Linked DNA regions of Schizosaccharomyces pombe. Each later gene encodes a partner of the first gene's protein in a complex. Each region holds a gene or a part of one and is shown in the gene's direction. Other genes may lie near its edges.

Evidence for each region.
Region 2: mrpl17 (region 1) and SPOM_SPCC777.17C share a complex: the UniProt entries of both Schizosaccharomyces pombe proteins name them as parts of the mitochondrial large ribosomal subunit.
Region 3: mrpl17 (region 1) and mrpl31 share a complex: the UniProt entries of both Schizosaccharomyces pombe proteins name them as parts of the mitochondrial large ribosomal subunit.
Region 4: mrpl17 (region 1) and mrpl10 share a complex: the UniProt entries of both Schizosaccharomyces pombe proteins name them as parts of the mitochondrial large ribosomal subunit.

Annotation. Positions count from the first base shown.
Region 1 is NC_003421.2:2,123,072-2,127,906, reverse strand, and holds mrpl17 (mitochondrial 54S ribosomal protein mL46), read left to right. Parts: upstream 1-2,161; 5' UTR 2,162-2,246; coding exon 2,247-2,364; exon of another isoform or gene 2,365-2,458; coding exon 2,459-2,892; intron 2,893-3,040; coding exon 3,041-3,139; intron 3,140-3,206; coding exon 3,207-3,362; 3' UTR 3,363-3,774; downstream 3,775-4,835. Other genes in the region: ubiquitin-protein ligase E3 Asr1, read left to right, coding at 1-173; twf1 (twinfilin), read right to left, coding at 625-756, 799-917, 958-1,093, 1,149-1,277, 1,386-1,753, 1,817-1,894, 1,933-1,957; SAGA complex deubiquitinating submodule subunit Sgf73, read left to right, coding at 4,051-4,633, 4,705-4,835. UniProt on the Schizosaccharomyces pombe protein: Component of the mitochondrial ribosome (mitoribosome), a dedicated translation machinery responsible for the synthesis of mitochondrial genome-encoded proteins, including at least some of the essential transmembrane subunits of the mitochondrial respiratory chain.
Region 2 is NC_003421.2:1,616,845-1,620,984, reverse strand, and holds SPOM_SPCC777.17C (mitochondrial ribosomal protein subunit L9), read left to right. Parts: upstream 1-1,926; coding exon 1,927-2,016; exon of another isoform or gene 2,017-2,065; coding exon 2,066-2,141; exon of another isoform or gene 2,142-2,271; coding exon 2,272-2,411; 3' UTR 2,412-2,839; downstream 2,840-4,140. Other genes in the region: retromer complex subunit Vps35, read right to left, coding at 1-1,429; SPOM_SPCC777.12C (ER stress response thioredoxin family membrane disulfide oxidoreductase), read left to right, coding at 2,939-3,217, 3,338-3,775; protein Gta3, read right to left, coding at 3,936-4,140. UniProt on the Schizosaccharomyces pombe protein: Component of the mitochondrial ribosome (mitoribosome), a dedicated translation machinery responsible for the synthesis of mitochondrial genome-encoded proteins, including at least some of the essential transmembrane subunits of the mitochondrial respiratory chain.
Region 3 is NC_003421.2:886,553-890,136, forward strand, and holds mrpl31 (mitochondrial 54S ribosomal protein mL60), read left to right. Parts: upstream 1-2,033; 5' UTR 2,034-2,305; coding exon 2,306-2,653; 3' UTR 2,654-2,743; downstream 2,744-3,584. Other genes in the region: TIM23 translocase complex subunit Tim23, read right to left, coding at 1-181; oca8 (cytochrome b5), read right to left, coding at 854-1,003, 1,090-1,181, 1,688-1,835; ubiquitin hydrolase Ubp1, read right to left, coding at 2,885-3,584. UniProt on the Schizosaccharomyces pombe protein: Component of the mitochondrial ribosome (mitoribosome), a dedicated translation machinery responsible for the synthesis of mitochondrial genome-encoded proteins, including at least some of the essential transmembrane subunits of the mitochondrial respiratory chain.
Region 4 is NC_003423.3:1,820,929-1,825,000, forward strand, and holds mrpl10 (mitochondrial 54S ribosomal protein uL15m), read left to right. Parts: upstream 1-1,974; 5' UTR 1,975-2,007; coding exon 2,008-2,772; 3' UTR 2,773-3,029; downstream 3,030-4,072. Other genes in the region: translation elongation factor EF-Tu Tuf1, read right to left, coding at 1-295, 347-481; U6 snRNP-associated protein Lsm3, read right to left, coding at 1,198-1,235, 1,337-1,451, 1,506-1,523, 1,594-1,686, 1,728-1,745; Nop52 family nucleolar protein, read left to right, coding at 3,634-3,676, 3,721-3,828, 3,885-4,072. UniProt on the Schizosaccharomyces pombe protein: Component of the mitochondrial ribosome (mitoribosome), a dedicated translation machinery responsible for the synthesis of mitochondrial genome-encoded proteins, including at least some of the essential transmembrane subunits of the mitochondrial respiratory chain.

The DNA of each region.
Region 1 (4,835 bases):
AAGCAAAAATATCTAAAGATCAATTTGCTCTATTCAATAAGAATATCTGTCGATCTGTATACACTGCGTTATCGGATGGTACTCTGTCGCTTGAAGGACCTCAGCAACATAAAATAAGCAAGACAATACGGGAAAAGGTTGTTAACTGTATACAGTCTCTTTCAAATGACTGATTATGAGTTATGTATTTATGATAGGAGTTATGGTTTGGTGCATATGCTTTTAATATTATATCATATCTAATCTTTTGGAAATCAGAAAGTAACTTTTGAGGTCAATTACAATTTCCAAAAGAGTATTTATTTTGTTAATGAAGGATAGTGTTTCTTTAATGTTTGAACAATATATGTTTGCAAGATTAACACTCGTCAAGAATGGAGTCTTTAAGGATTTCGCTTTTAGAAAAGAGGAAACAATGTATAGATCTAGTGATTGTCTTATTCTATTTATTGAAGTATAACATTTTGCATTGCAAAGTGAGACCGTTAATATAGCATGCAACGTGTGCTCAATATAGGCGTTGGTAGTATATTTTGTTTTAATTCGAATTTGAAATGTCATGAAAAAGATTGATAAACTAAAAAGTCTGTAAATTTGAAACCGCAAAAAATTGTATATACTTGCTTAACGTCTTCTAGGGGGTCGAGGTCTCGAAAAACCAGTTTTGGTGGTGCTTGTTTCTGCTTGAGGACTTGATATCCCAGCAGCATGAAGAATTTCCTTTTCAGTTATATCAGCGGCATCATTCGATTCAATCTGTCATGTGAGCATAAAATCTACTACGAGGGATAAACATACCTTGCCATCAATAACAATACCCAATTCTGCTTTAATACTATCCAAAAGACCAAGTTTGGAAGAAGAATAAACCATTCGATGTTTGACAGTTGCTTGCATTGGACAAATGTATATAAACACTAGACCTTGTTAATAAAATGATCCTGCATCTGTACTTACAAATTTTTGAAGAGCCGTCTTTTGGCAGGGAATAGAAAGCGAAATTAGGTTCGGTGGAAGAAAAGAAGGATTTCACATCAGAAGGAGGTATATTTTGCTTTTCTTGACTTAAACTTATGACTTCTTTGTCAATAGACTTTTAAAGGAGGTTAGCAACACCATACATAGCAAAAGTATCATAGCTTCCTTACCAAAATAACAAGATTGTTTTCTGTAGATGATTTTAAATCAGAAAGAGCCTTTAAGGCTTTATCATCAATCGACATAGCAACACCACGGGTCACCAAAGGACGCTTATGAGTTACTGAGGATTGCATAGACTACATAGTTGTTAAAATAGATGCAAATAAAAGAGTAGAAGCTATAAATTCTACGAGCCACGGTAAAGAAGTATGAAAAATCCATCCACCCCAATACAGTTTACCTACCTCATTGTACTCTTTCCTTTCGAGTTCATCTTGTCGTAAAGGACTTTGGTCCTCTTGCTTGCTTAAGCTCTTCATAATTTGCTGATAATCTAACTCTTCCGGAGTACTTGCGAAATAAGACTCGTCGAGTTTAGCAAGAGTTACGCATCTTACAAATGCAGCACGACTAGAGGCATATAACATCTTCCTGCGAACATTCGCATTTTCAGGGACATAGGAAATTAATTGTAATAGATTTTTCTTGCTATCATCATAAACGAGGACAAATGCAGGTTCTTCAGATCCGAGCAAACATTCACGGACTTTCTTAAAATCAGATTCTATCGATTCTGATTTTTCAACCATTGTTTTCACGTCAAATGAATTCTCTAAATCATTTAGTAACTTCAACTAACTTAAAATTTACTCTTCTAGCCCGAATGGAAACTTACCATTAGAAATGCTAATAATGGCGGCGCGAACCGGTACCGAAGAGTACTCCTCGAGAAATTTACTGAACTTCTCTGTAGCTATCCACACGTTAGAAGAATTTAGCCAAATTTCTTACGTTTTAATTCGACGGAAGCAGACATTGTTATGGGGATTGAAAGGTTTACTGCGTCAGCAATTCCCCATTCTAAGTGAGTTAAATTGAATTATAACGAAATCCAAAGAAATCTATTAAAACATATTAACGATAGCAACAGAGTCTCTAAGAAATATTACAGTACTTAACGAAGCGTGTAATGTACGCTGGTAAAACAGGTGGTAGTGCTAGCCATAGCGAAACGTCGATTGCCTTTACCAAGTGGTCTTTACCGGATTAGTAAACAAAGCCGAAATTTGGAGATTTACTTGGCGTAAATTGACTAAGTTTAAACAATGTACTTGAAGAGAAATATTATAAATATGCAGAGGTCTTTTTCGCGTCAATTTCACATTTCTGTACGAAATTCCATTCAATCCTCTAAACCCTTGTCTAACTCGACTCCTCTAAAAGGTACAGAATTAAAAAATGAAAATGAATTATCTAGGGATATTAAATATAAATAAAAAAATTACCTTTGATGTACATGATTGCTAACATATCTTAGGTTGTTCAGTGGGTACAATTTTAATTAGATCGCCAATTCTTACTCGCCAACCATCCGAATTCGAAAAATCTATATATAAATATAATGCGGAACTTTGGAATGAGCTGAGTGATCCTTTACCTGCAGAATTTTATTTCAAGAAGGGATCGGTGGGTGAAAAAGATTGGCAAGAACGACAAAAAACACTAAAAGGTAAAGAATCACCCTTTGAGACGATATTTGGAAAGGAAAGGAAAGAGATGGAGTCTAACAAATTATTGGATTCTGCAACTCACTTGCAATCCAGAGTCACAGAAGCTGATACGAAAAACGATGAGCGAAGCACTCTTCGCTCGCTTGACAAGTCCCTTTACTTGTTGGTAAAAAAATCTAAAAGCTCGGGTTGGCAATTTCCTAACACTCCTGTTACAAGCTCCGAGAAGGCGCTGCATCTGGTAAGTACATTTTTTAAAATTCGATTCCAAGATACACAATATAGTGCAAGAGACTACTTACTATTGATTTGATGCTAAATAATTTATCAAATACTCTTGCAATTTTTGTTTACATAGTCTGCAGATTGGCCTTTCTAACAAACTGTAGTTATGTCAAGATCTTTTAAAAAATATATTAGACGAAAATTCGTTGACTTGGCTAGTTGCACGTCATCCATTAGCATTACTAAAAACGGAACAAGAAAAGGTAAGACTACGGATTTTTTGTTCTCATTTTATCTGGGTTGATTTTTTGTTTAACCAGTTATTTCTAGACCTTCTTGTTACGTGCTCGTTTATTAAATGGATTAGATGTACCTAACCTGCAAAACGTTTATGACTGGGTTTGGTGTACGTACGATGAACTGAAAAACAAACTTTCTCCTTCTTCATGGGATTCTGTAAAAAACATACTTTCCGATCGTTTGTAATCTTCAATTGAGCAAACAATATGTAAAATCTACGGAAAATAAACAGCGGAACATTTCATCTTGGAAATTCAATCTTTCTACAATCTTACTGCATTTTTCAGCTTAATTTTCACGTTTTCTATTTTTTTCTCTCCTTAATTTTTGATGTTTTGGTACGATGTAAAAAAAAACAAATAATTTTGGAATTTCACTAAGTATTTCTCCTTATTTATTCTATCTTTTTATTTGCAAATGATTCTGCCAGTATTTTATTTTCAGCCGCCTACTTTTGGAGTCCGGATTTCATGATTACTCACCCTCATGATCTGTGGATTCTTGGCAGTGTACGAGAAAACGGGAAAAGCGCGCACCTTAATAATAAACTATGTTTAGCTCAAGGGACCTAAAAAAATAGAATTGTTAATCAAAATTGATATCCGTAGTTTGTCCTCAATTCCAAGATCAAAAATTCTTTTGTCAGTCATAGTCTAGCCCTTAAAGACAATGTCTGTATAATTTAGTAATTATCAGAAATGATATGTGTCAGCATAATCCTTTGAAAGTTCATTAGAATGCAATTATAGACTTTGCTTTCTGGAAGCATTAAACCGTACATACACTTGACTTACAGATTTAGTCCCACTACAAAGGAATTGACAAAGGGCAACTTTGTAGAATTCTGTTTATAAACTCGGTTCTTATCAATAAAATGTTAACAGAACAACAGACTTTGGAGTTATTTCCAGAAAATTGGGAAAGAAATGAGCAAGTTTTGTTGAAATACCCGGATGGGTTACCCAAAGATGTACTCGCTGATCAAAGAGTTGATAATACAGAATCACAGGTAAAGGATGAAATAACTTCTAACATTACGAATCAAACTCAAATTTTACTACCTGCTGATTCCTTTCCTCAGTATGGGTCATATCCTAACAATTCAGAACTCGATTATGTTGTATGCACAAAATGCGACCGACCCTTCCTATCAGAGTATATTGAGGACCATCATAGCTCATGCAATGGAATTAAACCTCCTAAGCCTCAATTTGAGCCTGTTGCGAATTCTCAGGTTTTAAACAAAGATGTCAACAATGGCAATAATGCACCCATCAAAAATGGTGTTAAATCGACAGCTAAGGGCTCAGCTGGGAATCATGAAAAGAATTCAGTTAATGGTCAAAAGAATCCTGAAATGCCTCCAAAACGTCGGAAGACAGAAGAAAACAAAAAGCCTACAAAATCCGCCCTTCCCAAGAAAGAGGCTAGCAAGAAGAAGAATCCAAAGGTCAAAGGTATGTTGGTTTATGCTGTTCAATATGGAGAATGGAGTACCTGTTTACTTTAATACTAACATTCAATTAAGGTCCTGTGGATGTTGAAAAGCAATGCGGTGTTTTGCTTCCTAATGGGCAAATGTGCGCCAGATCTCTCACATGTAAAACGCATTCAATGTCAAGCAAACGAGCCGTTCCGGGAAGATCTCAGCCATACGAT
Region 2 (4,140 bases), 510 kb from region 1:
TCATTCTTGCAATATCGTAACGAAGGTTTGGATCTTGCGCATTAAATACAGGAAGGAAATTCTGTAGCTCAAGACAGTAAGAAAAGGAAGGGAAATATGTAAGAGGAAGCAATAAAATTGCGCAAAGACTTTTTTGTAATGGACGTTCATGAAGAGCGCTTCGTAAGGAGGGCTGGTTAATGATATGTTCGTTAATGTATTGAAAAACACGATCTGCATACTGGGGTTTATAAGGGTAACACCGCAAGAAAAAATTGAGGATGCTAGAAAGTATAGAAACAATACAATCTAGTGGAAGACCACTACGAGATTGAATAACTTCAACAACATGTGACCATAAAACCTCTTGAATAGCATATTCTGGAGGAATTACTTTATCTCCAGGGCATTCTTGCTCGTCTTTTTGCTGTACTTCCTCATTAATTTTTATGTCTCCTAATTTTTCGGTTACAGTCTCAGATTCATCTTCATTAGAAGAATCAGATTCATATTCACGTTGGACATAGTCCGTAAGGCGATTCAACATAGCGACCACAAGTTGGGTTACGTTTACGCTTGGAGAAAGCTTTATGACCGTACCGAAATATGTATCGAGGGTTTGAAGATGCATATTATCAGAAAACGCCTGACAAATTACTTCAACAAGATACTCTTGTGCAAGTGAGTCCCGACATTCAATAATTTGCTCGATTATGGCAGGAAGGACATGATCTCGGTAAGTGTCTATATCGAGGTTTAACTGAGATAATCGAACCAAATTCAGCCCAACAAGAACCTTTAGCTCATTCCTTTCTTGGGTACGTTTGGAAAATTCTTTAATTGGACCAAGATGTTGGATTCTAACCCACAATTTATTCATTTCCGTAAAGTTGATAACTAAAAATTTAACAGAATCGAGTACGGTTCCTTTGCGAGATGCATCTTCCTCATCTTCTGATCCCAAAGGTAATCCTTTTCTTGTTTGGGTAAGCAGATAATGGCGCAAAAAAAGACCTCTTAACGGATGCTGAACACCTCTACACATATCTAACAAATCATTCATAATTTCACGTACAAGGGCATTAGGCGTTTCCAAATAAGCGCTTCCAACGGTTATCATGAGATATAAACGAGGGACAATACTACCGGCATATTGAACAAGTTCATAAAGGTCCATTAGGTTGTGAGTACCGTTCAGATGCGTTTCCAGCAATGTGCCCCCAAGTAAACGCAAGCTTTCCATATTAAACATATACAGCTCATAGTATTGTTTTGGAGTAAGTGCAGAATTTCTCATTTCCACGAGACTAATACTGCAATTACGAAATGCATCCATCAATCGTCCTGTCTGCAAGTTTCTTTGCATCAGCCTACTAGACTGCTTGCAAATATTTAAGGACTCTTCCAAGCTCCTTGTAATTTCTTCGTTAGCAGTATTAATTCCGTTCATAGAGCCCTAAATATCCACTTCCAAGTGTTTCAATTTAACCAACGTAATTGTAATTTCAGTATAGTTTTACTAGCGGCCCAACTTTCGAACAGAAAAACAGGATGTTTGTTATTCTTTTTAATTCACTAATATTAGCAATGTTTTTTATAATGGGTTCGTTGAAATGTCTACAAATAAAGTTGGTGGTACTGGTTGAGATATATTGGTAGATCTTGAAGTATTGCGCGCAGCACAGCTTGGAATCGCGCTTCGCTCAATTTCAAATTGACCATTTTCATATCACAAATATCGCGCCTAAATAGTATATTATTTTGATAACAATTAAAAGAAACTATAAATCTAATCATCGGAAAGGTTCACACTACAAGATTCGTCTTAGACCTCTAAACTAACGGTTTTTGAATTCTACATTCAATTGAGAATTTATTTAAGCTGCTTTTCTTTTTATTTTGTAAAAACTTTCTTGACGGATTTCTTGGTGCACCCATTTAATTGAAATGAGTATTATGAAACCGACAACTCGATTTTTTCGCTTCAATTCCCTTGAACTAGCAGTCTCACCTTTTCAAAGAATTTATGGGCAACTGGTATGTCAAGCTTATAAAAAAAATCACCGTTACTTACACAGTTATTTAGAGGTTTCTTCGTAAACAGCCAAAACCGTTTTTGGTAAAACTGTTAAACAACGAAGTTTCAAAGCTAGGAAGGCAAGGTATGCTAAATTTTTCATAATTATAATGTTCTTCATTTCAAACCTATAATAGGGAGGTAGTGGTTACATCCTTTTATTATAAGAAATGCATTCTTTTAGCCGTCGTAGGAAACTACTAACTTTACAAAAGGTGATGTCGTCTCAGTGACAAGGGGATATTATCGAAATACACTTTTCCCCAAGAAGCAAGCGATTGCTGTTGATGCCTTAAAATCTATGAAAGCACATTTGTTACAAGGGTCCGAATTCTCGACGAAAACGAAGGAATAATAATACCTAAACTCTCACTTAGTTCAATCAACATAAAAAGAATTTATTGAGTTTATTAGTGGATTAATTAAGGCTTAGCTAGCTGCAATTTGAACAATTCTAGCTTTTCATTACGAGATATTGTTACATTACTAACAAGAATTACGAAGTATTCAGCATTGACTTTTTTCTATAAAAAAATATAAAAAATTTAATTAAAAGGCTTCACTAGAAGCGTAGTCTCTTTCTGAGTTTGAATATTATCGTTATTGTAATATTTTATCAGGGTTGATGCTTAGTGTTTCTCAATTACAATAACAAGCTTTGGATTTTCCTATAATAGTATAGTTAATATGAAATTTAAATCCTTGAATGGTAAACGTTTACTGCGTATTGTGCGGCCATCGTTTCTGCTCTATCAGCTCGTCTAGCATCTTCTTCTCACAGCTACCAACTATTTTGAGTTGGATCCAAAATCATCTCATAACTCGTGTTTATTATTGCTAAAGCAGCAGAGAAAATATTTTTCATTACCTTATTCAGCTTCAATGAAAATTAATTTGTTTTTTGTGTTTCTATTTGAACTTCTGCATTTCGTGGCAGCTTATAGTTGTGAAGGAGATGAATCAGCTGCCATTGAAGCTATGAATGTCTTACAGGTACCGTATGAAAAATACAACACAGACCCAGTTTGCGCTTTTGACAATTCCACCGTTGTCGAACTTTCAGATAAAACCTGGGATCATGTCATTGAATCTGGCAAATGGTTTGTGCAGTTGACTGCTGAAGGCTGTGCTAACTGTACTCTTGGAGAGCTACTTTTTAACGTAAGTAATGGACTGCATTTAATGTTGTCCAAATGCTCTTGTTATGAGATTGAATTTTGAGCCTCGGAAATAAATTAAACCATCTTTGGATTTAATTGAATCTGTACTAACTAATTTTAGGACCTTTCGCATGCTTTTCATGAAAAATATCCGGATGTCCACTTTGCCCGTGTTTACTTGAGCAGTAGCCTCGAACTTTCTGTACGCTTACTCATTTCTCGGATTCCTTCTTATTATTTCATCGATAATCAAAATTTCTACCGTGTTTCTCCTCAGGTTCTTCCCAAGAACAAGGCAATCGCCTTATATGAAAAAGACGGGTTCAAAAGTATGAAAAAAGAGCAAGGTTTTTTCTCTGTTAACGGGCCCTTGAAGTCCTTTTACTGGGTCTTTGGAAAGGCACTTGCACTTTACGGACACTTAAGTCAAAAATACACCCCTCTTGGAATGAATGTAGCTATTTTTGGGATCTCTGCCTACATAATGTATCGCTCTAGCAAAAAAGCGAAACAAAAACAAGCCGCTGCTGCTGCCGCCGCCGCTGCAAAAAAGAAATAAGCTATGTGGAAAATACTATTAGTTTTTGATAATATCAATTTTTTGAATAATTATACGAGAGTTTGTTACATGTTCTATATGTAAGGCACCGCTCTAGTAAAGGTTTATACCCTATTTGTTTCATTCCTTCCTTTTTTAACAGAACGTAGATTTTCCAACCTTATTGCTTGTTTGGAGATTCATTAGAGGAATCATCTTTTAGCTTAGAATAAACGGCAAAGTACTGCCCGTCTCTTTTCTTAGCATTCTGAAATACATTCCACGGCTCTTGATCGGGTAATGATGGTAGAGATTCCGCATTAATAGCATGATTCAAAGTACGAAATGGTTCCTTAATGAAGGATGTATCAAGTCTCTCAATTGCA
Region 3 (3,584 bases), 1.2 Mb from region 1:
CCTCAATCAATAAGTAATCCAGAGGTTTATCTAAATCAGCGAGGGGATGTAACTTGGCGGGATCGAATTCAGAACCCGATAAAATATCTGAGGCTGTAGCCTCGGTAGGGACCTGCAATTCAGAAGAATCAATCTTTGAGGTTGGTTCCTCTTCTTTATTTCTTGTAAACAACCAAGACATATCTTAAAAAGTTGATTTTTCGCAAAGGCGCGATGGTGGTTGTCTGCAGGTAGCGGTGGTTACAGGAACTGTGTATTAGCACCTAAATTAAAATAGTAGAAAAAAATTGTTGAGACGTAAAAAGTGTCGCAATTATCATGAATTTACATTTATATATAAAAAAAAAGACTTAATGAATAAATCCTCGATCGTTAAATAACGCCCGAACTTATTTACTCGATCACCGCTTAAAATTCTAGACAAGTTGGGCATAGGTCCATCGATAAAACAATAGAATAGAAGAAACTATAAAACTTTTTTTTATGAGAGAACAAACAACGAAAATACAAAAAATATAACACTAAGTATTATCAATTATACAGTTACGCAAAGCAAGCATAAGACCGTTGTGAATTAAATTTACGTCCAGACAAATCAAAGGTCTCTATTAATATTAATATGCCATTCACATTAAGAGCCAAACCAAAGCGTGTTAAAGGAATACATTGAATCCGTAAATATCCTAAGTACGAACAGGTAAAGAAAGCTAAAGTAGATATCTAACAACAACAAAAAACGAAACTTGCTAGCTCAAAATCACAAAACCATATTCAGCACATTTAAACGACCCAAAACGAAAGAAGGCCTTTAAATTTCTTTGAGCGCAAAAGTAAGACTGGGAATTTAAGCAGTCTATTTGAGGACATACTTGCGAAAAGCAAAGTAAGCAACAACCATCACAAGGACAAAGAGCCACATAGCAGGCTTAACTGGTTGAGAAGAATCATATCCACTTCCACCAGCGGCAGCACCAGTTGTGGGAAGCTGAGGGCCATCTTCAGTCTAAAATATGTTAGAGTGTCGAAGCAAATTTTTACAAAAATTTTAACGAGCCTATGGCGAACGAAGAGAAAAAATAAATGACATACTCTGAGCAAGTTTCCAATGTAAAATTTTTCGAGCAACTCCTGAGCATCCTCAGAGTGACCAACATCCTCGAAAGGACCGCTAGCATCACGACCTAAAACAAGTTAATAATCACAGAAACGAACAAAAAAAAGCCCCTAGCGATGGTAGAGAAAGGCAGAAACTTTGTATAGCCAATCCAAAAGCCGTATGTGAAGAATCGAAGCGATATCGTCAATCAATCTTTCCAAAATTATGTATTTCAGTGTATTCAGAGTACTGGAAATACAAAACATCGAGTAGAGAGCGATCAATCTTGGAACATATAGACTGTACTTAACAATTCACCTTCAATGACAATGTCGCATTAAACATCGTATTTATTCAGGATATCGCATCTATTTTTGTACGTTCCTACGGCAAAGATTCGTCCTGAATCTTTCAAATTAAAGAACATGTGTATATGCGACACCTAAACTCTCGTGAAATTCAAAGTTTTGTAACGCTAGTTGTCTGAAACTTCGATTTCTACGACTCCACACAATCGCGACCAATTTTTATGCATTACAACCAATCTTCCTCAAGACCTCCATTATCGCGTACCCCTAAAAATTTACTTACCGGCCAAATCAACAAGAACCTCTTCACCACCAGGGTGAGCGTCAAGGAACTTGGAAATATCATACACCTTGTCTTTTACAACAATGTACAAATCATCACGAGTGTTATGTTTTAACACTTCTTCAACAGTAATTGTCTTCTCTGCCATGATCAAGTTCTGCTTATTCTTCCTTAAAGGTGGTATTTAACGGTTATAACCCAGGAGCTAATTACTCTCGAGATGTTGGTTGCAAATGCCCTATCGCGATTTATCTAGCAGGTGGGAAGTAGAAATGAGCCGATTCTTACTGGCAGGTGGTCACGTGGATTCGAGTTGGAAGGTACACCCAAGGATATGAACTTACCCAAAACCTATATCATTCTTCAGTTAACCAACTCCACCATTTTGGAGGTGTAGTGTTTATATTTGAATGGCAATATAATATTTAAATCAATTTAGGACGCTAATCAAGTTAATTTTTGTTCACATCTTTGCTGTTTCGTTGGAGCCGTAAACTACTTTGTGACAAACCATCAACTACTCAGAATTTGTCTATCACCCAAAAACTTAACAAAAAATTTTTATTTGCTCTTTTTGATCCAACCTTCTTCCTCTCCTTTTGATTTTATACGAAAAATATGCTGGGTGCATTTAACTCGACTTTGGCTCGCTTTGGCGGTCTTGTTCATAAAGTACCTTGGAGATTATCCCAGCGAAGAAAATATCGTCACCGTCAACGACTTCGTGCCGTCGATGAGGTGGTAGATGTTTTGCGCACGGCGTTGCAAGAGAAAAATCAATCGTGCAAACGAATTGAAAGTTTCGTTGCTAACCATCAGCCTGAATCCCAAATGTCACCAAAGGATAAATACACTATGTTTACCAGGAAGACTCAAGGTGCCGGTCTCCAAGGCTTCCGCAAGGGTGTCCATAAATCACCAAAATGGACCCGTAGTACTAATCGTGTTAATCCCACTGGCTTTTAAAAACGTCTGGTTGCAAAAGTTTACTACTTTTTTTTTCATAATTTTAATGCTCTATGAATAATAAATGTAATGGATTATTTTAATAGCTTATTTTATTACTTTTTTATTGCAAAAACTCCCACCTCTTCCTCGTCTTCGTTCATATTCAATTTCCAGTTTCATACATATTCAAACAAACGACATTAGCCTTTAGTTAGAGTAAAGTTCATATCACCTCTATTATACGTCTCTTTAATTCTTTGCTCTGTAAAACAATACATAAGCAGACGATGTGACAATATCCTCCGGATCTATTTCACAAATAGCTGTATCATCAAACTTAAAGAATGTTTGGCTCGATGCATCTCTTGCATAGGCAGTATAATGACCATTACTCATAAACCCGTGATGATTGTCCACTGCATACAAATCGTAAAGCATCGATTTCTGTGACGATAGCCACTCATGATCTTTTATAAATGGACTCAAAAATTGCTTCAAATTGAGATCAAATACTGGATAAACTACTAAATCCCTTCGTTTACGTCTTCTCCGCAAATCTCCACCGTGGCCGCTGAATCGATTTAAATGAATGACTAGTATTTTTGGCAATCGCCAGATCTCCAGCCGTTTTGTTGCCGGTCGAAATGCCTTACACCCAGGACAATACCAGGAATCCTGTAAATCAAGCTGCTCTGGCTTGGAAAACTCCAGTAAACAATCTTCAAGGGTGATGGACTCCATATGGAACTGAATTTTTTCAAATATCCATTCGCAGTTATAAAATAACTTTTCATATTGTTGATCGTTCCATAGACACATAATTACAGTTTTGTCGTCAATAACGATTTCCTCTTCCTCCACTATTTCAAACCTTTTAACCTCAATTTCCTTTATGCATTCCCATTTCCCGGCCTTACTTTCCATCCGCTTCAGTCCAAGCTGAAGAGTT
Region 4 (4,072 bases), on another chromosome or scaffold:
TAGCGCCATCCATTGTAGCAGCACCAGTAATCATATTCTTAATGTAATCGGCGTGACCAGGACAATCCACATGGGCATAGTGACGATTAGCAGTTTCGTATTCAACATGGGCAGATGAAATGGTAATACCACGTGCCTTTTCCTCGGGGGCCTTGTCAATTTGACTATAATCCATAAAACTAGCTTGACCAAGATCAGAAAGGCATTTAGTAATAGCAGCCGTCAACGTCGTTTTACCGTGGTCAACATGACCAATAGTACCAATATTGACATGCGGCTTTTTTCTAACGAACACCTTAAAAAAGTTAACAAGTAATCAAAAAGATGAAGAATGAAAAAAAAATACCTTTTCGTCAGCATAAGTTCGAGCTGGGACGGTGAACCGGTTAATCAAACCTGAAGCGAAAGAAATGCGGTTCAATCGCAAGCAATTTTTTCTAAAGCCTTGAAAGAGGAGAGAGGTAGCTTTAGCTGAATTCATAACGAAGGGAGCGTGTAGGCAGAGGAGAGGTCTCTGGCGCTCGTGTTGTCCTTGAAATAAGTCTCAGCGGTGCGCATCGTTATGAGAATACTATTGACACGAGCATTTCATGAAATAAATGGTCCTGGGTGTTTGGATACAATCAATATTTGTAGAATTTATTTTATTTTGTTCTATTTTACCGCTACGCCTATATATGATGATACGCTTGTTAATAATAAAAAAATACTAGATGAACTAGTGAACAACACCGCCAAATCGAAAGCAATTGATAGTTTTTTTTTATTTGCACAATGAATGGTATTATGTCTCTGATCTCTAAAGGAATGTCAATCTGATTTTGCTAGATCGCAAGAGCAACCACCATGCAAGCAAAAATCGCTTACTATCCTGTCAAGTACAAAGAATAAAACCATTAATGAAAAGTCTCAATGACAAAGCTCAGCGTCTCGTGAATGTTGGTTAACTTCGAAGAGTCTTTTGCTTTTATTAAGTAAAAGGATGTAAGGAATAACAAGAAGTGGTGCGTGACTAAAGAAAGATAAAACTATCCATCCAACGGAATAAAGGAAAATCAAACTTTTCTGTAATATAGAATACTCAAATCAAAAGTCGTTACTATTGTACGAAGAAGCACCTCTAAAGCGAAAAATTTTAAACAAAAGAATGAGATAAAAATATGTAGATAGCTTTGTATAGTAATTTTATTCGTTCCTTTAATTACGAGGTGGAGCAATCAAAATAACCGAATCACCTAAAGTTCATTAGCATTTGGCGAAAAAGGAAAAACAGTTTCGAAAAGGAAAGCTTAATCATGGTCAAACTTTTCGAGCGTAATATTTAGAATCTACGTACCACGAACAAAGAGCATCTCATAATGTTTGCGAATCGTTTTTAAGGCCTTGTCCTTATCGGTCTCTTCATCATCAAAAATAGTTACAATTTCTTCAGCATCTCCTAGTACCATATTCTAAAATACGTGTAAGTAATCCATCCAAATGCGAGTTATGAATATGATTCATACCAAATGTTCATCATAGGCCTACAATCGAGTTAGTATAACCAATTCAGAATAAGAAAAATATTCAAGAAACGTTAAAAAAATTTCATACATGAAGACGGCCATTTAATTCTCTATCTCCCCGTAATTTTACATAAACGATTTCATCCAAAGAAAGCCTCACCAAATCAAGAGGTTCCGCGACCTACAAACATTAGTTACCGAGTTACTGTTGATAAATCTTACTGCCTGTGCCGATTCCATTATAAAGTAAAGGGTTATTATATCTACCAAGCAAGATCGCTGTTGCTGCAATTATGCACTGGCATATGTCAGGAAGAAATAAAGGAGGAAACAAATTCGAATTGCGCAGTGCAGCGATGCTGAATATAGTAATAAAGATATTTTTATGAGACGCTATAGAATTTTACGTATTCGTGTGTGTCCGAATCTTTTGTAATAGTAAACAGCAGCCTTGGACTTATTACCATCTAAACTCGACGAAACCCGTTTTTTGAATTGGAAAATGTTTAATATTTTATCTCGGGTTTGTCGCAGTTCTTCATTTCATGGTTTTTTGAGATCCTCTGGTTATCCAAGATTTGGTGCTAGTTTCCGCGGCATCAGTATGTTGAATGATTTAAACAACAGTGCAAATTATCAGTCAAAGAAGCGAGTGGGTAGAGGCCCTGCGAGCGGTTTAGGAAAAACCTCTGGACGTGGTCATAAAGGATCTGGTCAAAGGCGTGGACGGAGAATTAAACCTGGTTTTGAAGGTGGTCAAACTCCTATCACCAAATTATTTCCTAAAGTTGGTCACAGTACGGGACATTTGAAGAAACCGTTGCGTCTGGGGTTAGGGAGAGTTCAGGAATGGATTGATCGTGGTAGATTGGATGCTAGCAAGACAATTACTATGAAAGACCTCCTCGATAGTAGATGCTGTAGAGGTATTAAACATGGAGTTGAACTTACTGCTGACGAACCTGGACTCCTTAAAACAGCAATTTCCATAGAAGTTTCTAAGGCTACAGTTCAAGCTATACAACAAATCAAAAATGCAGGCGGCAGTATAACAACAGTATATTTCAGCCCGTTGGCGCTACGTGCCCATTTGCATCCTTCAAGTTTTCGTACACCTCCTCGCCCTCCCCTTCCAGTTTCAAAGAAAGACATACGCTACTACACAAATCCACATTTTGCAGGGTATCTTGCCAACGTTAAAAATATTCGAGAGCTATATTATGGCGACCAACGATTCCCCTACGAACCGATTGTTAAAGATAAATAAGTAGTTCCCATATTACATCAGAACTTGATATATGTTCATCAAAAATCCCGCTTTCCTAATATGTCCTTAAAACTTTGTTATGTCTATTGATGATTCCGTGCAGCCTCCTTTACTTTCTTGGATGGGTTACATGTTGAGTTTTGTAAGGAAATATCTGCATCCTTTTCTTAGTACATTTGTATAATTACGTTTCCAATTTCGGTGTTTGAGCTCTCTACTGACTTTTTCGCTTACAGTTCAATACCCATTAGTAATATTTTGAATACCTTTCTCATTCGAAAATATAGCTTCCTTCTTTATCCCCCAAATCCCCTTGTTGTAGTCAGTTCATTCTCTGTCAGATAAACCCTTTCTCACATTTATTCATTTGCTTCATTAGTAGATTTGAGCATTCGCAGTCATGCACTTTTTTTGTATAATCAAGAACCCCTGCCGACTGTTTGTTAAATTATTATCTTTTGCCTTTTTTTGTTTAAAGCTTTCTTAAAATTTTTTCATCCTCCGATTGTCTATCCAACAGGAAAAGATCTTTCAAAGGATCTCCTTTTCAAAGGCATGCAAGGAAGAAGAAAAAGAACATTTGTTGATCAATGGAACGGTTAAAGACTTATATATAAGAATGACTAAGAAAACCGGCATTTGTAATAGAAGTGTAAGCGAACCATAGTAGTACATTAACCTTATGATCAATTAATCTACATAAACGGTCAATTCTAAAAAAAATAATACATATTGACTGGGAAACTCCTTATTTCATATATTAGAAAGGGACATTTATCAACTCTCCAATTAGTGCACTAAAACGCAGTATGGAAGGAACGATGCTAAGAACTGCTTCAACACTTTGTCAATAAACCAACAATGTCGGCTCCGTCGCCGTTTATTAAGAAACTTGCAGCTAATGGTAAATTTCTTACATATAAATGATTAATGTACTAACACTGTAAGATCGAAAAACTCGTGATAAGGCTCTTGAATCGTTGCAGCGGTTTTTAAGCCAAAAGAAAAAATTTGAAAGGTTAGACTTTCTCAAGCTTTGGAAGGGCTTATTTTACTGTATGAATTTTTTTGGGTTATGAATGTAAATCATCTAATTGTTTTTTAATATGCAGGCATGTGGATGGCTGATAAACCCTTATACCAACAGAAACTCTCAGATAATTTAGCCGCGTTGGTTCCAATTGTCTGGATAGACAATAGAATATTATTTCAATCTACTTTTTGGGAAACTATGGGTCGTGAATGGACGGGAATTGATATTTTACGAACAGACAAATTTTACTTGTTAATGCGTAGATTT